7 linked regions of the Cricetulus griseus genome follow. The protein of the gene in region 4 interacts with the protein of the main gene of each other region in a biochemical or structural test. Links are inferred from orthologs where the notes say so. Each region holds a gene or a part of one and is shown on either strand. Other genes may lie near its edges.

What was found.
Region 1: the proteins of Plcg1 (region 4) and Sh3bp2 form a complex in vitro, tested with the Homo sapiens proteins (2 studies listed by BioGRID, with this or other methods). The link is inferred for Cricetulus griseus from reciprocal best matches to the Homo sapiens genes PLCG1 and SH3BP2.
Region 2: the proteins of Plcg1 (region 4) and Pdgfrb form a complex in vitro, tested with the Homo sapiens proteins (3 studies listed by BioGRID and IntAct, with this or other methods). The link is inferred for Cricetulus griseus from reciprocal best matches to the Homo sapiens genes PLCG1 and PDGFRB.
Region 3: the proteins of Plcg1 (region 4) and Kit form a complex in vitro, tested with the Homo sapiens proteins (3 studies listed by BioGRID and IntAct, with this or other methods). The link is inferred for Cricetulus griseus from reciprocal best matches to the Homo sapiens genes PLCG1 and KIT.
Region 5: the proteins of Plcg1 (region 4) and Erbb2 form a complex in vitro, tested with the Homo sapiens proteins (2 studies listed by BioGRID and IntAct, with this or other methods). The link is inferred for Cricetulus griseus from reciprocal best matches to the Homo sapiens genes PLCG1 and ERBB2.
Region 6: the proteins of Plcg1 (region 4) and Sos1 form a complex in vitro, tested with the Homo sapiens proteins (2 studies listed by BioGRID and IntAct, with this or other methods). The link is inferred for Cricetulus griseus from reciprocal best matches to the Homo sapiens genes PLCG1 and SOS1.
Region 7: the proteins of Plcg1 (region 4) and Lcp2 form a complex in vitro, tested with the Homo sapiens proteins (2 studies listed by BioGRID). The link is inferred for Cricetulus griseus from reciprocal best matches to the Homo sapiens genes PLCG1 and LCP2.

Annotation. Positions count from the first base shown.
Region 1 is NW_023276807.1:103,544,159-103,548,117, reverse strand, and holds part of Sh3bp2 (SH3 domain-binding protein 2), read right to left. Parts: intron 3,399-3,959; coding exon 3,296-3,398; intron 2,356-3,295; coding exon of another isoform or gene 2,258-2,355; coding exon 2,140-2,257; intron 1,732-2,139; coding exon 1,661-1,731; intron 726-1,660; coding exon 637-725; intron 338-636; coding exon 269-337; intron 1-268. UniProt on the Homo sapiens protein: Binds differentially to the SH3 domains of certain proteins of signal transduction pathways. Binds to phosphatidylinositols; linking the hemopoietic tyrosine kinase fes to the cytoplasmic membrane in a phosphorylation dependent mechanism.
Region 2 is NC_048595.1:178,033,064-178,037,022, forward strand, and holds part of Pdgfrb (platelet-derived growth factor receptor beta), read right to left. Parts: intron 3,263-3,959; coding exon 3,139-3,262; intron 2,635-3,138; coding exon 2,423-2,634; intron 1-2,422. UniProt on the Homo sapiens protein: Tyrosine-protein kinase that acts as a cell-surface receptor for homodimeric PDGFB and PDGFD and for heterodimers formed by PDGFA and PDGFB, and plays an essential role in the regulation of embryonic development, cell proliferation, survival, differentiation, chemotaxis and migration.
Region 3 is NW_023276807.1:142,062,406-142,067,095, forward strand, and holds the start of Kit (mast/stem cell growth factor receptor Kit), read left to right. Parts: upstream 1-1,680; 5' UTR 1,681-1,764; coding exon 1,765-1,831; intron 1,832-4,690. UniProt on the Homo sapiens protein: Tyrosine-protein kinase that acts as a cell-surface receptor for the cytokine KITLG/SCF and plays an essential role in the regulation of cell survival and proliferation, hematopoiesis, stem cell maintenance, gametogenesis, mast cell development, migration and function, and in melanogenesis.
Region 4 is NC_048599.1:18,762,752-18,766,710, reverse strand, and holds part of Plcg1 (1-phosphatidylinositol 4,5-bisphosphate phosphodiesterase gamma-1), read left to right. Parts: intron 1-2,285; coding exon 2,286-2,438; intron 2,439-2,545; coding exon 2,546-2,639; intron 2,640-2,795; coding exon 2,796-2,843; intron 2,844-3,959. UniProt on the Homo sapiens protein: Mediates the production of the second messenger molecules diacylglycerol (DAG) and inositol 1,4,5-trisphosphate (IP3). Plays an important role in the regulation of intracellular signaling cascades.
Region 5 is NC_048600.1:111,557,488-111,561,446, forward strand, and holds part of Erbb2 (receptor tyrosine-protein kinase erbB-2), read left to right. Parts: intron 1-101; coding exon 102-240; intron 241-323; coding exon 324-446; intron 447-627; coding exon 628-726; intron 727-951; coding exon 952-1,137; intron 1,138-1,273; coding exon 1,274-1,429; intron 1,430-1,548; coding exon 1,549-1,624; intron 1,625-1,853; coding exon 1,854-2,000; intron 2,001-2,383; coding exon 2,384-2,481; intron 2,482-2,675; coding exon 2,676-2,864; intron 2,865-3,093; coding exon 3,094-3,346; intron 3,347-3,476; coding exon 3,477-3,832; 3' UTR 3,833-3,959. UniProt on the Homo sapiens protein: Protein tyrosine kinase that is part of several cell surface receptor complexes, but that apparently needs a coreceptor for ligand binding. Essential component of a neuregulin-receptor complex, although neuregulins do not interact with it alone.
Region 6 is NC_048600.1:3,662,952-3,666,910, forward strand, and holds part of Sos1 (son of sevenless homolog 1), read left to right. Parts: intron 1-1,059; coding exon 1,060-1,141; intron 1,142-2,038; coding exon 2,039-2,161; intron 2,162-2,374; coding exon 2,375-2,478; intron 2,479-3,597; coding exon 3,598-3,820; intron 3,821-3,959.
Region 7 is NC_048600.1:49,261,764-49,265,722, reverse strand, and holds part of Lcp2 (lymphocyte cytosolic protein 2), read right to left. Parts: intron 2,623-3,959; coding exon 2,528-2,622; intron 1,832-2,527; coding exon 1,754-1,831; intron 168-1,753; coding exon 12-167; intron 1-11. UniProt on the Homo sapiens protein: Adapter protein primarily involved in signaling pathways within T-cells, as well as other immune cells such as platelets, mast cells, and natural killer (NK) cells.

The sequences.
Region 1 (3,959 bases), on a different chromosome or scaffold from region 4:
ACTGAGACCACCCAGAGCAAGACCACAGCCTTATAGGCATGGTGGTAAATGTTTTTAATTCCATTCTCAGGAGGCAAAGGCAGGCAGCTCTCTGAGTTTGAAGTCAGCCTGGTCAGGAGAGAGTCAGGACAGCCATAGCTACAGAGAGACCCTTTCTCAAAAACCAAACAAACAAAAAGAATCACCAGCATAGAGGAAGCTCTGTTCTTGGTCCCAGTCCCCAGTCCCTACCCACCAAGAAACTCCCAGACCCAGCTACCCTACCTACCCTCAAGCTTCATAGGTCCCGGGGAATCAGGCTCCAAGTATGAGTCGTCGTCATCTTCATGTTCATAGTCTACATGTAATGAATGGAAGATGAGACACAACATAGCCCAGGGCGGCTCCATGCAGAAACGGATGGCATGACCCACTGTGCTTTGGGAACAGGGCACTCGGGAGACGGGGTTGAAGACGAGGAGGAAGGATTTGAAACCTGAACTCACACTGGTGGAGGTCAGAGGCAGAGAAGCCACATCACTCTGTCAGAGGACATACAAGCAAAGCTAAACATACATTTCTCTCCTTCTAGGCAGCCCAAGTGGGTTCACTGTCAGCAGTCAAGTGGATATATGGCAGGTGCAGAGAAGGTCTTACCTTCATTGTCAGTGGGGTATGGAGAGAGGCTGATATCTACAGGTCGCTCAACTGCACCGTAGAAGCTGTCTGTGTCTGAGCTAGAGTCACTGAAACCCAGAGCAGGGAACAGGCAATGAGCACTAGACCAGTGGTGCCCTTGCATGTAGGAAGTGACCCATGCACACACACTCCCCACACCACAGATGTCAACATCCACTTGGGGACCCATGGGCACACAGAGATATGAACACATACAGATACAAGGACAACCCCTCACACATGTATATAGACAAAAGAAGAAAAATGTCATAAAGAAAGACAGTTGGACATATGCGTGGTTCAAGGAAGGACAGACATAGGGACTGGAGGCTTGGGACCATCTATGGGTACCACCTCTCTGCCTGACTGTGTTTTTTTGTAGCCCTTACTGGCTAGATGCCTCAGAGCTGGGTCTACATGTCTGCCTCCTGTCCAGTGAGGCGCAGTCAACCCTGGACTGAGATATTGCAAGATGCTAGGCTAGACCAATAGCCAGGTGCTCTCAATTCAGTCCAGAGCCTCAGGGCACCCTTGGGGGTTCCCAGCCCTCTCTAGATCACAGTTTCACTATGATAGTGAAAGTGCCCCTGCTGTTTGCTGGATCATCTCACAAGTGAGAATGCAGAGACCAGGAATGACTGAGCTCCCAAGGGACAAAGTAGACACAGGGAGTTGGGAATCGAAAGCCCTGAGCTGTAAGTGCTGGGCCTCCATAGTAGGGGAGGGGAAAAGCACATGAGCCCCAAACAAGAGTTACAAATAAGTACAGCAGAATGACACACAGTCAGAGCTATAAGACTGACAAGAATAAAGATGTTGCAAGCACACATATGCATGATCATGTAAGCAGTATATGCTTCCACATACATGAAGTTTACCTGGTACCTCCACAAAAGCCTTTATGGAAGTCATTATAGCCAAGCTCCTCCAGGGACTGGAAGGGAGCCCTAGGAATCAAGAAGCCCTAGGGACTACCATTCACCCATCACATGCCTTGGCATACCTGGTGTCTAGAGGTAGCTCCTTCTTCTCATGGAAGTGGCCAATTTCCTTGCGTAGCAAGGCCATCCAGCTCTGTGGTTCAGGAACAGCCATAGTAAATATGATGCTGCCCAGAATAGGGTCCCACTTCACCTTCCTCTGACCACGGTCTCCCTGCTATGCAGTAACCACCAAGGTCCAGGGAGGGGAACCTAGCTAGGTCCAGCCTAGACTGTGTGGCTCAGAGTTGAAATCACCCCCTCAGATTGCAAGCTGCCCCTCAGCCCTTTCCAGGCTATACCCTGCTGGGACAGTCTCATGGTGTGTACAGGCACCAGGCTGTGGGTCTAATCCACCCAGATGCCCATACACCAACCAGGTCTTTCTCCTCCAGGTCCTAGCCTCCAGCCTGGAGGCGACGGGAGGCCAGATCCTGGTGATCAATGCGCCCCTTCAGGCAGGTTCTGCCAGGCTCCTGAGGCCCTGCTACCTGCTGATCACCTTGCGTTCATCCTCAGAGGAGGCTGAGAAGAACCACGTGCGGTGCTTCTTGCTGATGTGAATGATCTTGAATGGGAAGACATTGTTGGATGTCGTCTCCTCGGCTGCCCGCATAACTCTGAAGTCACAGTGCCAAAAGTCACCAGCTTGTCCACTCTCAAGAAATTGGATCATCAACCCCACCCATGAATTGACTTCAGCACTCAGCATCATGCCCTGGGGAATATCGACAAATCTGGACAGTCTCTGCCTGCTCATGCTCTCAGTAGATTATCTAGATGCTTCAGGGGAACAGCAGAGTATGAGTGCAGGGTCTGTGCAGACCTCCCAGGAGAGCAGTGTGCAGAACTCAGAGACATGGCCCCATTACTCTCATTGCTCCTCAGTGTTATTTCATAGAGATACTACTCCCCCACTCTGTCCCATGCAGCTCCTGGACTGCCTCTCTGCTCTGTGGCCTGATTCCCGATACAACGCTTTCTCAGACATCAGTCTACCTGGGTGAGTCCTGCTGGCTGGGCATTTGGACAGGGTACCTGCCTGGCCTATCACAGGTCTTAGCCAGGGCCTCTCAGGCCTAGTCCATCAAATGGGTTGGACAATCCTTAGGGCCCAGTCACATCTGTCAGTGGGCTAAGTTCATGGCTTGGCTGGCACACCAGTCTGGGAAAAGTGACTAGGGAGAGTTTTGATTAGCTAGTGCCTAGGACTGGACTAGGGACCTGGTCTGGCTACTTTGGCAAGGCTGTCTCATCAAGGCTATAGTCAGGGTGAAGCAGGGGCCCAGAGCAACTTTAGAATAAGTAGAAGGGCTGGGTCCTTTATGGGGTGGTGAAAGGCTCAGACTAATGCTACAGGGCATAGAACCTAGGCCCCTACAGCCTCCAAGGCCACAGGATAAAATCAGGATGACCAACAGTCCAATATGTAGGCATTAACTCAGGTTATACCTGCCCATTAGTCTAGAAGCCCTAATAAAGGCTTCACCTCACACATATTATCCCACCCCCTTCCCTTAGGAAAGGCCAGAATATGAGGGGACAGCCAGCAAGCAGATTAAAACCATCTCAGGAAAGCAAGGGATGGACCGTGTGTTCTAGGGTGAGAGGAAAAGCAATTGGCATGGGGTTGGTCAGCAGACAGGATGGACACTCACCGGTTGTAGCCACTCAGGGAGAAGGCACCCTGCGGAGAGGCAGATGTGCTGGTCTTGAAGTAGTAGATGCAGCGCTTGTGGATGATCACAAAGCGTAGGGGCCCTGGGGACAATGCAGCAGCAGGGTGAGCCACAAAGCCACCAGTTAGCTCCACTCTGGGGCCCTCCTCAGAGGCCCTGTACAACTTGGGGTCAGACCTCTGAGACTGCAGGGGGTAGAACAGGAAGCGGGGGCTGGTGTGATGGCCCTCCCTAGGGTTTTCTGTGGGGTCAATACAGACACGTTCACTGGTACACTGACCAGTCTTGGGGCATCACTCCAGGGAAAGTCTAGCCACACAAAGAAAGGGAGTAGATTGAGGTTTCAAAAGACAGTAAGAAAGGGTGGAGCCTGGACCAGAGGCCTAAGAAGGCCATGGCAGCCTTGCTTAGAGCAATAGGGCTGCTGCATGAGGCAAGGAGAGCAGGGCTAAAGCACCCAGAGCTGGCTAATGAGAGCCAGGTATGAAGCTGTGCTCTAGCTCTACTGTTCCTGCCCAGAACAGCACCCACGTAGATTTGAGGGAATGTTAGTTATGTTTCTTCCTTGGAGGCTGTCTGTACATAGTACAATTGACCTGCACAGAGTCCAACAGTCCAGCCTAGAGCACATCAGCTAGACCAC
Region 2 (3,959 bases), on a different chromosome or scaffold from region 4:
ATCATCCTGCCAGGCTATGAAAACCCTCTTCTTGTTCCTGAGCATTGCCCGTGCCTCTCACAGCATTCAGCACCCTGAGGACCAGGCCATGCCCTCCTCTCTTCCAAGCCCTGTTGGGCTGTTATGCCTGGGTCATAGATTTAAGTGCCATGTCTAACAAAATGGCCGAGGCACTCACTGGGTGGCTGCCCAAAGGAGCTGACTCTGATCTTCAGTGGCCTAATGAATCCACATCAGAAAGGCTTCTGTTCCTCCAGCCTGACCTTGAGGACCAGCTGGTGTGTCTGGTGGGGCAGTCATAGAGGGCACTGCCCAGGGCACTGAGGTGAACATGCAGGTCTCCCTGGGCTCCCTGAGCCCTGAGTCTTCTCTGGCCCAAGGCTCCAGCCTCCCTGCTACCCAGTCAGTCTGGATGAAGCCCCAGCCCCTGTCCTTCCCCGATTAGCAATAGCTGCTGTCTTCTGGGAACTTTCGTCTTCCTCCTATGTCCTCTTCCTGCCCTCCTCTGTTCCCCAGGGAGTCTTCCTCTGGCTTACTCCACATTCTTTCCTTCTTAGGGTCACTGACTGACATCTTTGTCCTCTCTTCACAACAGCCCCCACATCCTGGTCTTGCAAAGGGAGCCTGCACCCTCCAGGGACCCATCAGAGTCATCCCAGGTCTCTGTGTAATAGTACATGGTGTCCTGACCAGATGTCACACAATGACTTTCATTCTGCCTTTACTCAGGCCCAGAATGGGTCTCTATATGGCAGGCTGTGCACATTTTGTTGTGCCCACTTGCTCAGGGATATGTGTGCCTATAAGAGAGTGTGGGAGAAATGAGGGCATTTTATTTTAGATATTTATTTTATTTTTATGTATGTGTTTATGTGTGCAACTGTATTCCTGAATGCCATGTGTGGATGCTGATGGAAGACAGAAGAAAGCATTAAATCCATGGGATTTGGAGCTACAGGTGATCGTGAGCCCCCTGACATGGGTGCTGGGAATGGAACGCAGGTCCTTTGGAAGAGAAGCAAGCTCACTTAAGCTCTGAGGCGTCTCTCCAGCCCCAGTAAGGATATTTAAAAAGCTCACTCATCTTCTAAGGGCAGGTGACAGGTATGTACATAGACAAACATGTACAAGGCTGTGTGGGGCAGCCTGTGTGTATGAGTGTGTGTGTGTGTGTGTGTGTGTGTGTGTGTGTGTCTGTGTATGTACAAAATGTCTTTTGAAGCTCTGATTTCTCTGACTTCTGTATCCTATAGCCCCACTCCTTACCACTTCCTTCCCTATTACTCCCCCACCCCGCCCCAAATCCACATAGTTTGCTTCCAGACAGTTTGGTTTCCTTGAACTTCTCAGAACCCACTCCACCTCTAGGCTTTGGCACAGGCCTCCTTGGCTGCGACACCATGCCTTCACAGGCTAACACCTGGTCATCTTTCGGTATTTGATGTAAAACTTCTTTTTCCTGGGATATTTCCTCAATCCCAAGGTTAGCACAGGGCTCCTTCTGTCTCAGGGCTGCTCCCTGGAAGTAGTGTTCCAGTGTAGGCTGGCTCACTCCTCGTCTGCCTCCTCCCTCTGGACTGACCCACTGGCCTCTGTACCCTAGTGAGTTTGGGTCCCCATAACTTACTGAATAGGAAATAGGTGGATGATGAAGCATGCATACATGTGAAGGCATGGGTAAGTGGGAGATATGTACACACATCTGGACTCTGGCAAGCACTGTTCATATGTTGCACAATAACTGTACATATATGTGCAGCTGCTAATGTTTGTACATTGTCTGGAGGCGTATGTGTACAGAGTTGTGCTCAGTGCTTTTTTGTTTTTATATGTTGCAATTGTGTGAGTACAAATATGAACCATGCCAATGTTCACATTTGCACAGGAACTGTGCATGCATGATTTATGCACATGTAGGGGGTTTGTGCTCCCCACCTGTACATGCATACAGACATTCATTTTGTAGATTTACATGCAAGTCTTGGGTTTGGGCAGGCTTATACACACAGCTCACAAAAATATATCCTGCAGTTTTATATACATGGACAGCGTTGTGCATGCTTGAGCACATGCTAACACGAGTGTACTCAGGGGATTAGGCATCCTCAGCACAGATTGCATGTGCACATGAAGAGTGTACACCCGAGTCCCAAGATCAGCCTACTCATGTTCAGAGTTTACAGCATGCATCATGCATAACAGTTCATTTTCCACACTTGAGTCAATGCTTTTCATGTTTGTGCACTGGTGTCCACATCATATATTGTGTATGTGCATAAGGACATACTCTGGTGGGTTTTGTAATGTTACTATAGGCTTGTGAGCATGCTCACTTGATCCATTTTGGGCATGCAGGCACGGTAAAGCAGGATCAAGGAAGGAGTGAGAGGTCATCAGAGCCACCCAAGGCTGGGGCACTCACAATGTGGTACCACGGTGACCTCCTGCGAATCTCTGCCCATTGAGTTCTGCAGCATACAGCGTACTGACAATGGCTGATCCACATGACGCAGGCGCAGTGTGCTCACCACCTCATATTCCTGTTCTTCTTCCCAGAAAGTCACATTAGTCTCTAGCTGGTTCTCCTCCTTGGAACTGTTCCCCAAGGGTGTGGGTGACAGCTTTCGTGGACACCTGCCAGGAGACACAAGGAGATTGGCGTACAGTCTCGCTTAGTTCTCCCTCTGCATTTGGGGAAACTAAGTCTTAATTTCTATGACTGCTTGGTCCTTAAGTAGGTTCCTACTGTGTTGTCTAGAAGGACCAGCAGGGGGAGCTCCTACTCCAGAACTGAGACTCCTCAATGGCAAAATTCACTCATTTGACCCTCAGTGTGTCAGGCAAACCCTGAACTCTATCTACTACACTCAACTCTGGTCAGAGATATAGAACAACTACTGGATGAATTAGACCCCTCTGGGGGCCAAACCCTGCACCTTCCTGGGTTGAGGATGGCTCAGGGTCAGGGTAAGAAAAGGAGCAATTTAGGTTATGCATGGTATCTTCAGGAAGGCAGAGGACTGATCTAAGATGTGGCCTGGGCCTCTCAGCGGGGAGAGGTTGATCTAGGTTAGCCTACACTGGGTCATTCTAGGCAGCTGTGGGTACTCTGGGAGGCTGGAGCTCAGGTGTGCTCACCTTTTGAGGTCTCGGCAAGTAGACCACGTGACATTTGGCTGAGGCATGCCCCGACCACGACAGCGGATTGTCTGCTCCCCATTGGCAGGGTGGCTCTCACTCAGCTCCAGCACACGGACAGGGACTGAACAGAGTACAGGGCAAGGAAGTGGGGTGGTAGGAAAAGACCTCAGGGGAACATGTTCCAGAGTCCCCCCACTCCCCAACCCCTAGGCAAGGGACTACAGGGGAGCATCAGACACCAGGAGTCACAGTGTGAAAAATGACAGGTTCCTCTCAGTACTTCGAAGGGCAGGGCTCAGAGCCTGTCTTTAACATCACTCTGAGACTGTCTTTTCCCTTAACAAAGAGAGAAGAGGCCTGGAGCCCAGGGTCCTGGGCAGCCAGGTTCATAAGGCTAGACTTTGACAGCGTTGTTTTGTTTTCTCTGAATTTATTTTAGTGGTTGTTTTATATTTATGGCATATGACACTGAGTTTCCATCTACAACGAGATGCTAAATTTTGTCTTTCAAAACAGACTTATTTTTAGAAAGCTAATTGACAAAGCATTAAGTCTTTATCATGTCATTTCTATGCTCAAGTCCCTGTCATGGCTCTTCATTTCAGTCACAATGGAAGCCAAAGCTGTACTAAGCCCACAAAGCACTCACCCAACTATCCCCTCCATCCTTCCTCCATTTCTGCCCTGACCTCATGACCCACCCTCCATATATGCCAGCACCCTCTGTTCTGGTCACACCCGCCTTCCTGCTATTTCTCTGGCAATGTGACAAGGGGAGACGCATGATCTGGAGTGCCCTTCTCCAAATATCTACTTGT
Region 3 (4,690 bases), on a different chromosome or scaffold from region 4:
ATCTGCCTGCCTCTGCCTTCCCAGTGTTGGGACTAAAAGCGAGTGCCACCACCACCCAGCTTATTTTCCATCCTTAAAAAAAATACGTTTATATATTCTCTCTCTCTCTCTCATCTATATACCTATCTGTCTATTGACCAATCAATTACATGTTTGTGGGTGTGTGTCTGCCCTATTTTACCATCTTAAGTGCTATGTAGGGGTGTTTTATCTATTAATCAGAATGACAATAAGACCACTCAGAGCACTTGCCACCAAGCTAGTTGACTTGAGTTTAACTCCCAGGATCTACACAGTGGAAAGAGAGAACACACTCTCAAAATTTGTTCTCTGACATACACATAAAATTATAAAAGTAAGAGAATATAAAGGGAAAACACAATACCCATGAGGCTTCAAACTCTGTCTCCCCACTATTAGGTGTGTAATCTTGGGTCACTTTAAGAGCTAAAATAATAAACGTTTATTCTCCCTACTTCTCAAAGTTAATAGTAAGTCTGGATAATGGAATACAGAACTATAAAAACCCTATACTGGGGGATTGTATAGCCACAGTGACCATAAAATGCTTCTAAGTAGATCTCTTAACAGAATTACTTTAGGAGCTGGAGAGATGGGTCACTGGTTAAGAACAAGAAGGGTTCAGAGCAGTTGGGCTCCCAGCACCCACAAGGTGATTCACAACCATTTGTAACTCCAGTTTCAGGGGATCTGTTGCTTTCTTCTGACCTGCCTGGTGTGCAGACATACATGTTGGCAAAACAGTCATACACATTTAAAAAAAAAAAGTCTTTACAAGAAAAGATAATTGTTTTACTTTTATGTTGCTCCTAAGGCTGGCCAGAGCAGGAGAGAGGTAGGGTGTGTGTGTGTGCGTGTGCGTGTGCGTGTGCGTGTGTGTGTGTGAGGCGGGGGCGGGGTGGGGATAGACTAAAAAAAATCCACAAGCGAAAAGGCACCCAAACTCGAATAGGCTTTAAAAACCGTGTTTCCAAAGCTAACTACTTCACAAGGAGCCTCTCTACACTCCACTGGCCCAGTTTCCACAAGTCTCAGCAGGAGCTTGGTTGGGCGGAGGTCCACACTGGCCAATAGAATCAGCTGTGTTCTTACAGGTCTCGCAGCAGGTGGAGAAACTGAGCAAGAAAAATTACTTAAACGTGGGCTCAGCCTTGCGCCGTGGTGTGGGGCGCCACAATTGGTCCCCCTCTACTAGCAGGACCGGAGAACAACGTTGGGGGCCGAATTTCTTAATCCTTTCGCCCAGCAATCTCGTTTCGTAGCACTTCCACTGCCCGCCGAAGTGTGCAGGGGGGTGGGGTAACCCCTGTGGTTGTCCTTTATTGTCTAGGGAGCACCTGTCAGGTGGCTGGCCTGTGCCTAAAGCGCGCGTGGCGCCAGGCTTCACAAAGCGCGGGCAGCACCTGCGTGGCCAGGAAGCCGCCTGGGGCAGGAGGACCACCGATGGAGGAAGAATGACGGGAGGAAGAGGATCCGGGATGGATGGCCTGTGGGTGCTCGAGGTCTCAGAGGACACAGCGCCCCCGGGATCAGCATATCCCGAGAGTCCCGGGCACCAGGCAGCGAGAGGGAGCGCGACCCGGGAGGGAGGAGGGAGGGGCGTGGCCGCGCACTGGGGGAGGGCTGGAGGAGGGGCTGTCGCGCGCCGCTAGTGGCTCTGGGGGCTCGGCTTTGCCGCGCTTGGTGCACTTGGGCGAGAGCTGTAGCAGAGAGAGGAGCTCAGAAACTAGCGCAGCCACCGCGATGAGAGGCGCTCGCGGCGCCTGGGATTTGCTCTGCGTCCTGTTTGTCCTGCTCCGTGGCCAGACAGGTGGGAGAGCGCGGCCGACTAGAGGATTGCACCCTCCACCCCGTGGGCACAATCCTGGGTCTGGGAGGGGTGTCACCAGGCGGGGTGCGTCCAGAGTGGTGGCTGTTGGCTTTTCCACTGCCTGTGTGTTACAGCCAGTGCGAAGGTGGCGGGCGGCCGCGGGACTCTGTTGGTCCGCCTCGCTCACCTGCGCCAGGAGCCGGCAGCGGCGGGCGGTGGAGACCCGGAGCCGAGAGTCTTCCGGGAGTCGGGACCGCGGGGCTGCAGGCTGCGGGCTAGTTTGGCGATGCTTTTGTGCGGACTGAGCACGGGTGGCAGTGGCTGGCGGCCTGGGGCTTCGCACCGAGAACGTCCTCTTCCCGTGCGAGGCGCGGCCGCGGCTTCCTTTTGTTAAAAGTTGCGTGTGGGTGACCTGCGCCCGCGAGGATGAGCCCGCGGGTCCCCGGACGCGCGCCGGGCAAAGTTGGAGAGCCTTTTTCTTTTTTTTGCTCTGCGGCCGCTGCTTCCCCACCGCGGGCGGTCTTTGTGTACAGTGCTGGGGACCCAACCGCAGTCGCTCTAGTCGTGCGCAGCGCTACCCGCGGAGACGAATCTCGGGCGTGCTTGTACCCCCTCCCCCTATTTTTTTTTTGCACGGGGGACACGCGGCGCGCGGCTCTGGGGCGGGACCCCGCGAGCCTGTATGTGGCGGCTACGGGGACAACTTGAGCCAGGCGTGTGGCGAGCAGCCGCTAGGTTGCAGACTTTTTCCTTTTGTAAATCTCGTGCTAAAGGCTCGCCCCTCTCTGCAGCCGCACGGTGTACATTGCTGCCACGCGCCGGGGAGCTGCTGCAGCCTACGTTAGCCGCCAGCTCCTGGGAAGGAGGGACCTCGTGCGGGGACGCAGCTGTTCCTTGCCGCCTCGTGCGCACAGTATGAGGGACCAGGCAGCCCGCCCTAGCTTTGGAAACCCCTGGTCTCAGTGTATGAGACTTGTAGTCGCAGGTGGCCGTTTTCTTTGGGAATCCCGAGATCTAGACTCCCCCTCTCACATGATAACCATTCTCTGGCCTCATGGGGTGGGATGGGGCAGAAGAGGTGAACTTCCTGCAAATCCCATTTGTTTCTTCAAGCTGTTACGAAAACCATGGTACCTCTGCACGGGAACTTGGGTCTCAAGGTGGAGGATGTGTAGTCTCCTGGAGCTCCTTAGCCCTGCCCCTTTTTGCCAGGTGTCGCTGGTGGGCTGCCTGTGCGGGTCGCCTGGCTCTGGTCATGAATCTTTGGTCTTTTCCAGGTCGTTTTCAAAACAAAACCCAGAAACCCTTTAAGGTTACCTTGATGCTATAGGCTAGAGAGAATCTGCGCTCTGGAATGAAGCGTCCAAAGGCCAGCAGCGCTGTCTGACCTGTTTGGAGCCCGCTGCTGGCTATGTTTCCCAGATCTCACTCTCCCGATGCTTTTGAAAGGCCCGGGAGGGCTCTGTGTGTGCGTGGTGTGTGTGTGTGTGTGTGTGTGTGTGTGTGTGTGTGTGTGTGTGTGTGTGTGTGTGTGTGTGTGTGTGTGTGTGTGTGTGTGTGTGGTGTGTGTGTGTGTGTGTGTGTGTGTGTGTGTGTGTGTGTGTGTGTTGTGTGTATGTGTGTGTGTTTACATCTAGACCCCTGCCCCAGAGGAGGGGTCACCAGGGAACGCAAATGAGTGTCCAGATTCCTAGGCGTATTTGACTGCTTAGCTGAAAATGACCCCAGCGATCTTTGTGTTTTCCACCTTGTCCTGCTTTAGACCAAGATGGAACACCAGGAAGATCATAGTTCCCCCTTAAAACCTGAAACGTACCAATGGTTTGTATCTTCCTCCTGATTAGTGTGCTCTGACCAATAACTTTGGCAAAGAGAATCTGAAGGTCTGTTGCCTGGCAGGCAGTGTGTCCTAATGACAAACCCTTGTTCTGCCCCACCAGTTTCAGGTCCCCTTTTCATACCTACAGCCTCCTTGGTTATGTGCCCTTGGGCGGGTCATTTAAATTAGGAGGGGTTGGTGCCTTCAGTTTTCCGTGTGTGTGTGTGTGTGTGTGTGTGTGTGTGTGTGTGTGTGTGTGTGTACTGTTCTGGCTTAGCAGGAAGCAGTTTTGTGTTTGTTTACGTTGTGATCTCTTTGGAGGGCTAGCAAGTGCCTGCTCTGTAGTAACCCCTCCTTCTTCCTGGGCATTTGCAGCTTTTACAGCTCAACAGGATGGTCCTGAAACAGTGAATCAGATCTTCCCCCCTTTCCTGCAGGTGCAAGACCCTAGTCATTTATGCACCTGGTCTTGGCTTATGATCCTACTGGAAATAATCTGATAGTTCTGTAATAAAGAGATCTCAGATAATTCACTTTCCCCACCCATCCGTGGATTTCTTTTTTCTTATGACGTTTTAAATCATGCATGCCGTGCTTTTGCAACACGCTTTCTAATGTGCCTTAAATATCGTATCATGGGTGTGCTTTGTGCATACGTGGGGCTTTATAATCAGCAAATGTCTGCCAGACCTCATGCTGAGGGCTTTCCCTGCTGTTTCCCTACTCAGGGAGCCCAGGAGGTTGGACCACTACAGCCTCTACTATTTTCCTATTGGAGACAAGTCACTTGCCCAAAATAATCAGTGAAGAAGCCTGAGCTCAGCTCCATATGCCCACTGTGTATCCATTTATACAACTTGCCAGAGTCTGACATAAAGTAAGATGCATACAAAAATATTTAATGAGTACTTACTATAAGCCCAGCCCTGTTCTGAGCCTTCGGGGCTACAAGACAGCTGATTTTGGTATAAGGGCTTTAGGCTACCTGTCTTGGAACATTTGGATTAATCTTTTCGATTTAAGTGGCTTAATTTGCCAGG
Region 4 (3,959 bases):
AAAAAAAAAGAAAAAAGAAAAAGAAAAAGAAACTGTTCTCAAGTTGTGGATTTGTGACACAGCTCTCCCTACTCTGGTTCTAGAATCAAGTAGAATGCCTCATCTTCCTGCATTCCCCATACCTTTTTACTTCACTGAACCATGTGCCTGCATTTTTCTCATTTTTGCACTCAGTCACTCAGTGGGTACTGGAAGGGCTCTGCCTGCCATGGAGTATGAGAAACACACATTTCATAGCAGTATGAGGCATTGAGAGGACAGTTAATGCAGGATGGAGCTTCTCATGGGATCTTCAGTGGAAGAGAACTCAGGCGGAGAACCTTGCAAACCAGGCTCCAGGATGAAATGGGGTAGGAAGAGTTGCTGTTGCTGTAGGTCTGCCTTGGTTTGGAAGGATCACAGAAGAGGGCAAGACAAAAAGCTCCAGAAGCTCTGAGCCCTATCATGAGAACTTGAAAGGCTGTGAAGGGAGTGGGTTCGTGGTGGGTTAGCAGTGATACCTCAGGAGGGGAGTGAATGGGCCTGTAGGACCAGGCATCCAAACAATGGTTTATGGTTCAGAAGAGTAAGGAAGAATGGGGAGTTGGTGAGAATTATGCCCACCAACAAGGAAAGTCAGGGCTTTCTGCTGGAGGATAGACCTGAGGGCTTTGCTGGGGAGTCAGTACTGGATCCAGGTACAGCCAGTGCTGGTTGTGGTAGCAGAGCAGGGGATAGGGCCAGAAGTGATGTTACTGTTCCAGGTGGCACACATGATGCTCCTGTGGCTGGCTCAAGGGACAGCACAGAAAGACTGCAAGCTGTTGGTTGGGGCCTTTGGAATGTTCCAGCCATGCTGATGTTTGGAACTAGAATCTAGTCGGAAGGAGGACTGTAAGAACATTTTTTTAAAAAAATTTATTTATTTATTATTATTTATTATGTCTGCATATGTATCTGCAGGCCAGAAGAGGCCACCAGATTTCATTACAGATGGTTGTGAGCCATCATGTGGTTGCTAGAAATTAAACTCAGGACCTTTGGAAGAGCAGGCAGTGTTCTTAACCGCTGAGCCATCTCTCCAGCCCCTGTAAGAACATTTTAAGACCTTCCCAAGCTAAGGGGAATCTCTCTTCCTGGGCTATCTATTTCTGTCCATGCTCCAGGCTCATTCAGGGATGGTCTAGGTGTGTTCAGTCAGGGCAGCTGTGGCAGGACCAGATCTACGAAGGCTCAGAGTCCACATCTGAGCACGTGCTGGCTGAGGAACCTCTCCATCCATGTGGCATACTCAGCTTCTGCTCTTTCAGCATCATTTTGGTCTGTTGTCCTTACCACCCTTCAGAAGTGGAGCAGGGGATGTCGGGCAGTTGTCTCTCTGCCAAGACTCACGGTTAACCTGAGTCCATGTAGCCTCCCATTCCACTGTCCTGAGAAACCGAATCAGACCCCTACCTCTTTAGTTGGTGAGACTGCAAATGGGAGGCATTAAATGTGCCACTAGCTTACAGTTGCTCTGTCTTGTCACTCCAGTTAGTAGCCCGAAGGATCATTCACCTCTCAGGCCCATGTACTTGCCTCACCTTTACTTGTGAGAACAGGGGAGCAGTTGAGAAGGCTTTGGTAGCTGAGATAAGGATACCAAGTTGTGAGTGCCGAATGCCTGGTGTTCTTGAACAGCCTTGGCCTTAGCCAGAACTAGGCCTTTGCTAAGACTGGTGTGGGCATGTCTCTGGGGTGTGGGTCGTTTCAGGATTTGCCAGTTTTCTGGACCTGATCCAAGGTTCTGTCTTCGATTCTGAGACCAATCTAGACTTGCCCAGCCTTGCCTCTGGGACTTTACAATTGGGTCTGTGTGTGTATTGTGTTAGAAAGAGATTCACAAGGTACTGCCTTGGTTGGATCCCTGTTTCTCCTTCTGGAGTGGAGTCCAGCTCTGCTCCAGGTACAGGTTATAGCCTATACTCCTAGCAATGGAACAAAGATAGGGAAGGGATAACACATACACTTACACATACACTTACCTCCCTGTCCCCAAAGAGCCTTAGCCTTGCCTTTAACACACACACACACACACACACACACACACACACACACACACACACAAAAAAAAAAAAAAAAAACAAAGGCCTACTATTAGATAAGCCCAGCTCTCCCTATCACCTGGGATAATGTGAGTGGGTTCAGTCTGTCTCTTTGTGGCCCAGTCCTCGAGGGAGGAGGGTGTGGAAATGACTGAGAAAAGCACACCTTTGATGCTGGCTATGAGGACCTCAGCCTGACCTTGGCCTTTACTACCTTTCCAGTTGATATCCGTGAGATCAAGGAGATCCGCCCAGGGAAGACATCGAGGGACTTTGACCGCTACCAAGAAGACCCTGCCTTCCGACCAGACCAGTCACACTGCTTTGTCATCCTCTATGGGATGGAATTCCGCCTGAAGACCCTGAGCCTGCAAGGTGGGAGATGGGATTAGAGGAGGCAGGGTGTGGGTAAGGGGAAAGCCTGGCTGCCCTTGCTCTTGTGGGAGGATGTGCCCTTAGCTCAGCTTTTGCTCTGCTCACAGCTACATCTGAGGATGAAGTGAACATGTGGATCAAGGGCTTAACTTGGCTGACGGAGGACACACTGCAGGCAGCCACACCCCTGCAGATTGAGAGGTGAGACTCATCTTCATGGGTTAAAAGACCAGATGTCTTGGACCAGGTGAAAGGAGGGAGAGACTTGAGGCCTCTCCACACACAGTAACTGCTCTGCTTCCCGGGCTTTCTCTTAGTTGGAGAAGGGACCCTCACCTCAGGCTTCTTTCTCTCTAGGTGGCTCCGGAAGCAGTTCTATTCAGTGGATCGGAACCGTGAGGATCGGTAGGTACTAAATTGGAGGTGTGTGCCCAGCCAGTAGATAGAAGCACCCAGAGCAATTGTGCATTTGAACTGAGCTACCTTGAAGGGACCAGCAGCTCTGACACAAGTAGTTCATTAGAGTGGGGCACACTGCTACTCTGGGTCCTAGAAGGGTGGCTGACAGTGCAGCCAGAAGGACCAAGAGCTGGAGGAAGCAAAAACCAAATGGCATGCTCCATATGTAACTTGTACTGTTGCAAGGCTCTCTGAGAGTCCTAGAGTCAGGAAGTCATGGGAGGTACAGAGTGACCTGTTCTGGCTTCGAGTTTGCTCAGTGTCCTCAGTAGGGTTACTATTACTATGATGAAACACCATGCCAGATTCAACTTGGAGACGAAAGGGTTTGTTCAGCTTACATTTCCATATCACTGTTCATCACTGAAGGAAGTCAGGACAGGAATTCAAAACGGCAGGAACCTAGAGACAGGAACTGATGTGAGGTCATAGAGGGGCGCTGCTTACTGGCTTGCTCCCCATGGTTTCCTCAGCCTGCTTTTTTACAGAACCCAGGACCACCTGCCTGGGGTGCCCCCTACTCACTCACAGTGGGCTTGGCCTTCCCACATGTATCACTAGTTAAGAAAATGCCCTGCAGGCTTGCAATAGCTGGATCTTATGGAGGTATTTTCTCAATTGAGGCTCCCTCCTCTCCCAATGACTCTAGCTTGTGTCAAGTTGACATAACACTAGCCAGCACACTCAAGATCAGACTGCTGAGTGGAGAGCTGTGAAGACACTGTTCCACAATTCTGGGTGGAAGATGAGAGGGCTCAGATTGGGGTAATAATGGTAGGAATTAGTTGGACTTGGGCTATATTGTTTAAAATTATATTAAAAAGTTTTTCTAGTCCTTTGATTTTCAAACGTCTGAGAGAAGAATGAAGTCAGGATTTTTGACTTGAGCAACTGGAAAGTAAAGTTGCCATTGCTGAGACAGGAAGACAGTGACAGGAATATTGATGGAGCTTAGGGTTCAGTGTGGGTGGAAGTTTTATGATGCATAGTGGATGTCCAGGTAGAAATGTGGAGTCACCAAGCAGGTAGAGTGAGTTCAGATGAGGAGTCGAGGCTATAAAA
Region 5 (3,959 bases), on a different chromosome or scaffold from region 4:
TGATATTTTTGAGCCAAGGCACATTCCTGTCCCTTCATGGGGTCTCTTCAAATTTCCTCCCGAGACTAGTCCTAATCTCTGATTCTGGGCTCTGCTTTCAGCCCAGCGACGTCCATCATCGCAACCGTGGTGGGTATCCTGTTGTTCCTGGTCATAGGGGTGGTTGTTGGAATCCTAATCAAGAGAAGACGGCAGAAGATCCGAAAGTATACAATGCGTAGGCTGCTGCAGGAAACTGAGGTGAGGTGCCGTGAGGGCCTCCTAGCGCCGCACCCCCCATCTGTAGCTTGCTTGGCACTCACCACGCCACCCTCTCACTCCAGCTAGTGGAGCCGCTGACGCCCAGCGGAGCCATGCCCAACCAGGCTCAGATGCGGATCCTAAAAGAGACTGAGCTAAGGAAGGTGAAGGTGCTTGGGTCCGGAGCTTTCGGCACTGTCTACAAGGTCAGGAGGGACCAGGCTCTGGCATGAGTGGATCTGGAGGAGGGGCTGTGCCTGAGGAGCATGGTCAAGACAGAGGACTGGACCAGGCTGGAGGGTGGGGAAGGCTGCTCATCAGTGACTTCTTGGGGACCAGCAGGATCTGGACCACAGGCCTGATTCAAGCCCATTTCTTTCTGCTCAGGGCATCTGGATCCCAGATGGGGAGAATGTGAAAATCCCCGTGGCCATCAAGGTGTTGAGGGAAAACACATCCCCTAAAGCTAACAAAGAAATCCTAGATGTAAGCCGGTCACCTTCTCCACTGGGACTTGTGAGACGCCCCCTAGCTGTAGACCTGGGCTGCCTTCTCTTGATGAGGGTTTGGGATGGAGGTCCTAAACCTTGATTCTTACTCTTCCTGGTCTGCAGGCCCTGCAGGGATGGGGGCGGGTCTCCAGGAGGGGAGTATGGTGGGTGGGAGGGAGTAGGTGGTTTCCTGTATCCCTCAGTGTATGCTTGCCTGCAGGAAGCATATGTGATGGCTGGTGTGGGTTCTCCGTATGTGTCCCGCCTCCTGGGCATCTGCCTGACATCCACAGTGCAGCTGGTAACACAGCTCATGCCCTATGGCTGCCTTCTGGACCATGTCCGAGAACATCGAGGTCGCCTGGGCTCCCAGGACCTGCTCAACTGGTGTGTTCAGATTGCCAAGGTATGTGCTTGGGGGCTTCTGACTCTGCAGGTCCTTTGGGTGCAAGTCCCTACCCTCATTTGGGGCCAGAAAAGGATGGGGAATGCCGATAAGGTGAGATACAGACTCAGGTTCCACACTGATGCCCATTTTTCAGGGGATGAGCTACCTGGAGGATGTACGGCTCGTGCACAGGGACCTGGCTGCCCGGAATGTGCTGGTCAAGAGTCCCAACCACGTCAAGATTACAGACTTCGGGCTGGCACGGCTGCTGGACATTGATGAGACAGAGTACCATGCAGATGGGGGCAAGGTTGGAGGAGGGCGGGGTTGGGGTGAGGTGGGTGGGGTGGTATCCGCCCATTGGGAGAGCTTTGAGAAGGGTCACCTCCCTACCACACCCATTCAGGATTTTTTGCTCTGCGTTCCCAGGTGCCCATCAAATGGATGGCATTGGAATCCATTCTTCGACGGCGGTTCACCCATCAGAGTGACGTGTGGAGCTATGGTGTGTGGAGATGGTGATGGGGAGGGCTGGATAGAAGCCATGGCAGGGTGGGATATGGGTACAGAAATGAGGGTGGAGATGGGGGGTGGCTGATGTCCAGCCTGTGGGGGTCTGTGCCCACCTGGAGTATGAAGCGACCAGGCCGATGCTACCTTTTGGCACAGCCTCTCCCCTTGTATGCGCATCTAAGGATCCTGTTCCCCCAACTCCTGATGCCTGTCTGTCTTAGGTGTGACTGTGTGGGAGCTGATGACTTTTGGGGCCAAACCTTATGATGGGATCCCAGCCCGGGAGATACCTGACTTGCTGGAGAAGGGAGAACGCTTGCCTCAGCCTCCAATCTGCACTATCGATGTCTACATGATTATGGTCAAATGTGCGTGGTGGGAGGGGCCGAACCTCAGGTGTAGCGGAAGGGTGGTCTGACCTGTGTGTGGGGGGGGCGGGAGTGAGATGTGAATGGCCTCGGGTGTCCTTGAAGGAACCTCGAAAGGTGCTTCATCCCATTCACAGTAGATGTCCTAGCTGCTCGGGACAACGGCTGTCTAGAGGAGAGAGGCCAGCTTAAAGGGGAAACTAGGAAAAATGCTCCAGGGCTCTGGCTCAGGATCCAGGGTCCACTTGTGCTCCTCTGCTATGTGAGGACTTTGGGCTCAGCCAGGGTTGTCTAGGCCAGACTGAAGAGGAGCAGGAAGGGGCTGCACAGCTGGTCCTGAGCCTGGTCCTGGGACAAGGATGCTGAGCTCTCTCTCACCGTAGGTTGGATGATAGATTCTGAATGTCGCCCGAGATTCCGGGAGTTGGTGTCAGAATTCTCCCGCATGGCGAGGGACCCCCAGCGCTTTGTGGTCATCCAGGTACTGGGCCTTCTGACCTCATCCCTACCCTAACAGTGTCCTCCCTCCTGCAGACAGGAGAGGGAGGGCACACCTGGATGCCAAGTCCCCCAGCCCAGCCAGCCCCCACCTTTAGTCTAAGCTTGGTGAACCTTTCTTGGGAACTAACGCTAGGCTGGGGAAGGGCTGTCACTTTGTGTCTCCTTCCTCCCTAGAATGAGGACTTGGGCCCGTCCAGCCCCTTGGACAGTACCTTTTACCGTTCACTGCTGGAGGATGAGGACATGGGGGACCTGGTGGATGCGGAAGAGTATCTGGTCCCCCAGCAGGGGTTCTTCTGCCCAGACCCTGCCCCAGGCACCGGGAGCACAGCCCACCGGAGGCACCGCAGCTCATCCACCAGGGTCAGTGCCCATCTTAGAACACCAGGGTCCCTTCCCTTGACTGCTCCCCCACATTCACACTTCCTTAAGATCCCATTACCATTACTGCCTTCCAACCCTTGGGACTCCATTGCCTCCATAATGATTCCAAGGTGACCTGTGTTTTTCCTCCTGGGACCCTGTCATTTCCCCCCCAAGGTCCCCTCCCAGATCTTTGAGTAACTTCCATCATGACCCTCTCTTACTCCAGAGTGGAGGAGGCGAGCTGACACTGGGCCTGGAGCCCTCAGAAGAAGAGCCCCCCAGGTCTCCACTGGCTCCCTCGGAAGGGGCTGGCTCCGATGTGTTTGATGGTGAACTGGGAATGGGGGTTAGCAAAGGGCCGCAGAGCATCTCTCCACATGACCTCAGCCCTCTACAGCGGTACAGCGAGGATCCCACGTTACCCCCGCCCACCGAGACTGACGGCTACGTTGCTCCCCTGGCCTGCAGCCCCCAGCCCGGTATGGAATCCAGGCCTGAGAGACTGGGAGGAGGGGAGTTGAGACCCCTCAGGCTACACCCACTGAGAGGTAATGGTGGGGCAGGGAAATCCCGTTTCCTTTCCCTAACAGTTCTTCTTCTCTCCTGCAGAATATGTGAACCAGCCAGAGGTGCGGCCTCAGCCTCCCTTGGCCCCCGAGGGCCCTCTGCCTCCTGTGCGGCCTTCTGGTGCTACTCTAGAAAGACCCAAGACTCTCTCTCCTGGGAAGAATGGGGTTGTCAAAGACGCTTTTGCCTTTGGGGGTGCTGTGGAAAACCCCGAGTACTTAGCACCCAGAGGAGGCACTGCCTCTCAGCCCCACCCTTCTCCCGCCTTCTGCCCAGCCTTTGACAACCTCTATTACTGGGACCAGGACCCATCGGAGCGGGGGTCTCCACCAAGTACCTTTGAAGGGACCCCTACGGCAGAGAACCCTGAGTACTTGGGCTTGGATGTACCCGTGTGAGGCCACATTTGCAGAGACCCTGTTCTGCCTTCAGAGTGAGAGAGGCCTGGTCTCCACCATTGCAAAGGAGAGGTCCTCTGGCCACATTACTTCCGGGACAGCCTGCTGTGCCAGGAGCTCACCCTAC
Region 6 (3,959 bases), on a different chromosome or scaffold from region 4:
TGACCTCCATTCTACCCCATGGAGATGTGCATGCACAGTGGACCTTTGAAGAAGAGGTTGCAGCCTCCTGCTATTACGACTGAACTTTGAACTTTTATTGTAACTACTTCAAATGACAGGCTTAGAAAGAGTAAAAACAAGATCTCTGTTCACACATGTTCATGAGTGTGGCACAAGCAGTGTGTGTGTGTGTGTGTGTGTGTGTGTGTGTGTGTGTGAGTGGACAGCTTTTGGGATGCGATGACCCCAAGCTTGTATGGCAAAGGACGTTTACCTACTGAGCCATCTCGTGTCTTTTTTATAGCTTAGAGGGGTTTGACCCTTTTTTAGCAGTTAAAAATAAGGCCTCTGGCAATCAAAACCATTAACTACTTAGCTAACCCTACTACTCTGTAAGATTCTGTTTCTAGTTCTTTGCTCTGTTAACATGATTTACCGGAAGTTAGGAAACATAGTTAATTAAAGTGATGTCAGGAAATGGACAGGCTATTGTTACTGCTATCTCTACTAGGTAGGTGACCCAACAGGTGACACATTGAGATCCTAGCAGCAAAAGGGAACCTGGTTCAAGTCCCTGTCCTTGCTTTTTTCCATTGCACATTCCTTTGCCAATGATAAATTTGAGACAGGAAAAGAAATCAGCTGATCATATTTTACAATCAGTGTTTTGTTTTGTTTTGTTTTTGTTTTTCTAAAGCCACTGCTTTAGGAGGCACCAAAGGTATCAATACATTAAAGTTCAAAGCCATATATGGGTAAAACATGTGGGCATTTTTTGTTTGTTTGTTTTGCTTTGATTTTGTTTTTTTCAAGAAAGGGTTTCTCTGTGTAGCTTTGGAGCCTGTCCTGCAACTCACTCTGTAGATCAGGCTGTCATCACAGCCACAGAAATCCTCTTGCCTCTGCCTCCTGAATGCTGGGATTAAAGGCGTACGCCACCAACACCTCGCAATATCTGGGCGCTTTTGAGACTGAGTCTTTGATCTCTTTTGAAACTGAAAATAATAGTTTTAATCATTGTTTACCTGAGACTTTAATACTGTTCCTTTTCCTTTTCAGATCCCAATTTTGTTCGGACATTTCTTACAACATACAGATCCTTTTGCAAACCTCAAGAACTACTGAATCTTATAATAGAACGGTCTGTCCATTTTATATGTCTGAATTCTTTGATTTGGAAAGGATTAAGTTACATATTTCCTAAAAATGTTGCAATAAGTGTAACTGTAGTTGAGTTTAAGATAAAACTACTACTGGGTTTACAAAACCATGCTAATTTTGATTATTTAAATAGATTTCTCTCTCTCTCTTTTTTTTCTCATTTATTTAGTATTTAAAATTACAACTTTTCAGGGTTTGGGCTACACTGGGATTGAGCCATGGGCTTTTGGTTCAATCTAAGCAGTATTCCCAGCTCAAATTTAAAGAACTAAATAATATATAAATATGTATGATTTAGACTCTAGGCTAAACATAAGCCTATAATCCAAGAATTTGGGAGGTAGAGGCAACAGAATCAGAGTTCATGGTTATCTTTGACTCTACATAGGGAGTGCAAGGCTACCCTGAACTACGTGAAACCACACCTTTAAAATAATGACACACTAGAAATTCAGATTTTAATGCTTCACAAGTTCTAAACAAATTTTCAAATATACTACATATTGAATAAAAATGAATCTTGTCAGTGAGCAAATGCTTTTATCAAGGAAAATGTTTTTCATCTATCCAAAGGGCAATCAAGTTTCAAGCACTAGTTACCCTTAGAGTAATCTACAGACTAAAAATTAACATTAGTCCCATTTGTTTTAGACTTTATATGTGTTGTTATTTTGCTTCTAGTTAGTTTTAACTCTGTTGGCAATATTAACTTCTTTTTAAAAAAATGTAATCAGCCTTTACATTATAAAAGCCTTGTATATCTGTAGTAATTTTTATAGTAGTCTCTTGATTATACTGATAAGTATAAATAAAAGTTTGTGAATCTGAATTTGATACAATATTTTCATTAATTTTTTTTTTTTCTGTTTCATGGTAGATTTGAAATTCCGGAGCCTGAGCCAACAGAAGCTGATCGAATAGCTCTAGAAAATGGAGATCAGCCACTGAGTGCAGAGCTGAAGAGGTTTAGAAAGGAGTACATTCAGCCTGTCCAGCTGCGGTGAGTAGTGAGGGCGTGGCCTCATAGAAACCACAGCTTCTCAATGTGCATTTAAAGTCCTAAGTCAGGTGAAGGAGGCAGACCAAGTGGGTTAGTTAAGAGTCTTCTCTGAGTTATCAGCTTTAGTAGATTGTTTATTGGTAAGGGCTGCTCTTGTTTCATGTGTACACTCAGTGTAAGACCCCATGTAATCCAGTTGTGTTAATGCCACAGAGTGTTAAATGTGTGTCGGCACTGGGTGGAGCACCATTTTTATGACTTTGAAAGAGATGCAGACCTTTTACAAAGAATGGAGGAATTTATTGGAACTGTAAGAGGTATGTTTCTAATTTCCTACTTGCATATGTGATAAAATTACCAATATGATTACCCTCAATTGATACATTATAGCTCATTTGAAAATGTTAAACTTTCTCATCAAACATCACTTTGGCTGGGTATGGTGGTGCACACCTTTGATCCCAGCACTGAGGAGGCAGAGGCAGGTGGATCTCTGTGTGTTTCAGGACAGCCAGGACTACAGTAGTGATACTAGGTCTGAAAAAACAAAACAATAACAAAAAACCATTATTGAGACTTGTAAATTGCTCAGCAGTGATCCTGCTGACTCAGTATACTTTGTATCTGTTTTAGAACTGGGTCTTTTAGGTGTCAGTTTAAGCTAGACCACTTAATTGAAACTATGTGCTACCTACAGTAGATGGTGGAATGTTTTTTAACCATTGTAGCACCACTGATAAAGGTATATGATTAGGTAAATGGAACAAGTAGCATATTACACTGACAGACTACTACTACCTACCATCACTACTAGCCAGATACATAATTTTGGTTCTTTAGACTTCAGTTTATTCATAAGAAATTAGGGTTGATTATCACAAAGTTTCCTTTACTTTAAAAATTCTGTGACTGTGTGACTTTAAGGGTGCCCTAGACAAACTTGGTTTTATAGCCATTGTTCAGTCTAAAGGAAAATCAGAAAATAAAGGATTAAATAGATTACTTTCCTGTACAGTACAAAAGACAGCCACATCAAATAAGACTAATATGATCGATCAGTCCTCATAAATGGGTTATAAAATACAATATTAATTAGACTTGTGAATGTGTGTAATTTATTAATCTTTGTATGGAATATACCTTGTATGGAAGAATTATAAAAAATAGTATTTTGAACTAAGGTTCAAAGTGTTGGAGGTGAAAAATCAAATTACCTTTTACATTCATTTAGGAAAGGTCTAGATACATGCCAAATTATTAACAATGGTTACCTATCTGGAGAAGGATGAGAAGATGGGGGAGGGGAACTCTTAGTATTTACTTTGCACATTTGACTTTATAGCAATGATTTATTCGTGTATCACTTGTATTACTTTAAACATATTTAAAAATAAAGTATTAAAGAGTATTTAAATGTTTGTTAAAATGTATTTCAGGTAAAGCAATGAAAAAATGGGTCGAATCCATCACTAAGATAATCCAAAGGAAAAAAATTGCAAGAGACAATGGCCCAGGTCCTAATATTACATTTCAGAGCTCACCTCCCACAGTTGAGTGGCACATAAGCAGACCTGGGCACATAGAGACTTTTGACTTGCTCACCTTACACCCAATAGAAATTGCTCGGCAACTCACTTTGCTTGAATCAGATCTATACCGGTATGTTGTTCAACATTCAAGCTGAGAAGTTATTTCAAGAGTTCATCTTAAAAATGGAAGACATTTTCTGCCTTTTAGGGTTGTCTTGAGATGTCAATGAGACAGTAATATGATATATTTGTAGCACTAAGGCAAGCAA
Region 7 (3,959 bases), on a different chromosome or scaffold from region 4:
GAAGTCCTTACCTCTTTTCCTCGAAGTCCAGTCCCCAGCAAGTATACTTGACTTTCCTCCTGGTAACGGATCTGAATGTTGTAAACTTTGTCTTTGTACAATACCATGAGGACATATGGGTTGCTTACTGTTTTCTTAGAACTATCTCTTACCAGGAAAGTACCATCCTAGAAGAATGGATGCTTGTTGTTAATGGGAGCAGCAAAAGTCAATCCTTTTGTTGCTGTTAAGAGACAAGCCTATGGGGCAGACAAAGCTATCACTTGTAAATTGACACTGAGTTCTCCTCAGAGCTGGGGACCCCAGGTACTCTGGGTCTTTTGATTTCTAAGGAAGACAACTGGGATTGCATCTGAAATTTGCAAGTTAACATCTTTGGAGCTTTTTGTTGCTTTTGGTTCTGGTTTTAGTGACAGGGCTTCTCTTTGTAACCTTGGCTGTCCTGGAACTCACTCTGTAGACCAGGTTGGCCTTGAACTCATAGAGATTCACCTGCCTCTGACTCCTGAGTGCTGGGATTAAAGGCATGTGCCATCACCGCCCTGCTTTTGAAGATTCTTACTATACATTTTTTAAGTAATAAAAACAATCAGTCGGTGAGTAATGCGCCACAAGAAGTAAGGAGGCTTACTTACCATATACCTGCTCACTTCTGTTAGTTTTCTAAACTTGCCTTTCTACACCCTCATTATTTGCCTGTGAAGTGCACTGCCCTTTGTCCCACACACTTGCTGTGTTTAGCTTTTACCCATCTCACACCTGAACAAAAGTGAATGTGGACTTTGTATATTCTTGTCACCTCTTTCCCCTTTACTTTCTAAAATGTGATTTGCTCTGTATTTTACATTTCATACAAGAGTTATTTCAATGTAATAAAACATGACAAAGATCTAATAGTAAAATAGAGCTAATTAGAAAGACCAATGTAAATCACTCCCTCCTCTATGTACTTAACTAGAATGGGTTTTAAATGGCCATCAATATGCAATAGCACTGTTCCTTTGTTCCTTTTGCTCATAGTTAATTGAGCCATTGAGAACATAGCTGATAAAGGAACTTCCCTCTGGACCAGTGAGTCACAGGTTTGGCTTGAATTCAGGATCACCTGCGGAGCCTGAAGACTCCCTCTCAGCCCACCCCACACTTATTAACACAATCGCCTCAAAACTCAGGAACCCAAATTTAAAACAAAACAAAACAAAACAAAAACAAAAAACTACCCCAGATGACCAAATCGGCTGCTGAGGCTGGAAATGGTTGCTGTAGCGTTAACAATGTAAAGGCTAAAGGGTTGTTGTTCTCTCATCTCTGACCCAGGAACTCAGGGTTAAGGGTTAGTACTGGAACATGAGTAAGACTTTATAACATTAAGACTAACTAGAAATTTCTAGAAGACTTTGCAGATATGCTTTCATCATGGGTCTTTCTCATGATCTTGAATGGCAAACAAGTGTTAAGAGGAAGATAAATTAGTAAGATGTCTGAAATGATACACGATTCCTTTGACAAAAAAATAGAGACACACTCATTAATGAAACTGCCTAATATCTGCCAACTGACGGATAGTGATGGCTTGGAGGAAACATTCTATGGATGCTAGCGGGTAGGATGGTAGCACTAATGGCTCTTAAAGGAACAGCACCTAGCAGCGGGAACAGCAGCTAGTTCATACTTGAGTGCCAGTGCATAGCAATACCCTCCCCTTCCTCCACTAACATGTATAACTGCATAAACATAAAGCATAGAATGATACCTGGTTTATCTTTCTAAGAGCAGCTTCTGCCTCTGGTCGGGTGATATAAGAGACATACCACTCTTCATCTAATGGAATCTGCAAATAAATTTTAAAAGCACTGTGAGTTCTATAGTTACATAAGCAAAGTGAAAAGAAACAAAAAGGAAAAAAATACTATTTCCCATAAATCACCACCTCAATTCTCGAGACTTAGAACATTTGTTTTCTTGACTTGAGTCCTTTAGATGGGGCTGCATGGAAAACATTTTGTGCAAAGTGCTTCCTTAGCATGCCACTGACTGCAAAAGCAGCTGTGAAGGAAGGAGCCTCCCTTATGTAATGGAGACTTTGATCTAGAAAGACAGAGATAGACGAACTCTCCAGCTTATTATATAGTAGTAACATAATCAATGAAAAATCTGTTTTAGTGGAGCAACTATGAGACTTATTCATTCAAGGCTATAAGCCAGGAAACATGAAAAACTGGGCTTATTTTTTTATCATTTCTTAATGCCCCTGGAAGACGGTGAGAGAACACTAAAGAGAACATTAGTTTTCATTTACATCTTCCCCTCAGTTTTTGGTTTATTGTGTGTGGTGCTGTGGATCCAGGGCAGGGCTTCACCCAATGCTAGGCAAGGATTTGACCACTGAGCTATACAGCTGCCCTCTTAATTAAATGGCAATAAAGCTCTAACAGAAGGCACAAATAGAGCAGAGCAGCTTAGGAGAGTTTCTTATCGTCCCTTTGCTAGGGAGAAAAGCAAACAAAATTAGAAACAGCTGTATTACCTCTTCTTCTTCAGGAGATGGAGGCTGTGGCCTGTTTGGAACTGGCATGGATAAGTTTCTGCCTTCATTTCTGAGAGGTGGTCTATTGCTGAGACCTTTCAAAGCAAAATATTTTGAAAATTAATTTAGTGTCGGCCACTGTTTTCTCATCTCATAGCACATCCATCACAGATACCCCCATGACAGTAGGGGCATTCATTTTTCAAGATTATGAGGTTGGAGGGAGCCTGCATGGGACTGACCTAGGCCCTCTGCATATATGTTACAGTTAGGTAGGTTGACCCTCTTGTGTGACTCCTAACAGCAGGAGTAGGGATTGTCTCTGACTCTTTTACTGACTTTTAGAACCCTATTTCCTCATACTAGTTTTTCTTGCCCAACCTTAACACATGGGGAGATGCTTACTGCAACTTGATATGCCATGTTTTGTTGATATCCAGTGGGAGACCTGTCCTTTCCTAAACAGAAATAGATGAGGAGTGAGTGGACTGGGGGAGGTGGGAACAGAAGGAGAGGATGGGGGAAGGACTGGGAGGAAAGAAGGAAAGGGAAACTGCCCCCAGGATGTAAGATTAATTAATTAAAAAAGAATATGAGGTTGGAAAAATAATTTCTACTTCTCTCATAATATGAGGGCTGTTTGGGCCATGTTCCATACCATGCTGGAGAAACTTTGAGAAAAGACCCTGACATTTCAGTGAACCCCTAAACATGCACACAACATAACGAGGGCCCATTTATAAAAATAACCACATTGTTTGACTGTGTGCCTCAATATGAACATGCCAAAAGCAGACCTTTCGTAGATGCCTGCCATCACGGCACACATGGAATGCCTCACCAACAGCTCTCACATTGGCAGCAGAGAAGAGCTAATTATGTGCTCAGTGTCTTCACAGAAAGAAAGGGAAGGGCTTGAGAACAGTGTTACTTTAGAGCCAGTGTTTGCTGTGGTCTTTCTGTTTGTTTTCATTTTACAATTCCCCAAGATGTAGAACTGTTGGACTAGAAGGCACCATAAACTGATCATTTGCTTTAAAATCATCCCAGTGCAGTCCTGTCTCACAGACCTTTGCTAGAACATGGACCAATAGCATCAATGTCCTGTAGGAACTTGCTAGAAATGCCATCTCAGGTGACACCCAGCCCTCCTGAATTAGATCCACTTGAACATGATTGCCAGGCATCTGTATGTACATTGAATGTTGAGAACATTCACAGTGGACACTCAGTGGCAGCATCATTAGAAAAGGAAAGCCTCTGGCCTCTCCTACTAACTCAGAAACTTGTGTTGTTTTTCTGAGGCATGATCTCATGTAGTCCAGGCTGGCTGCAAACTTGCTCTTTAGTTTAAGATGGTCTTAAACATTTTTGTCTTAGACTCTTAATCCACCTCCCATGGGTGGAGATTACAAGTTTGAGCCACCATATC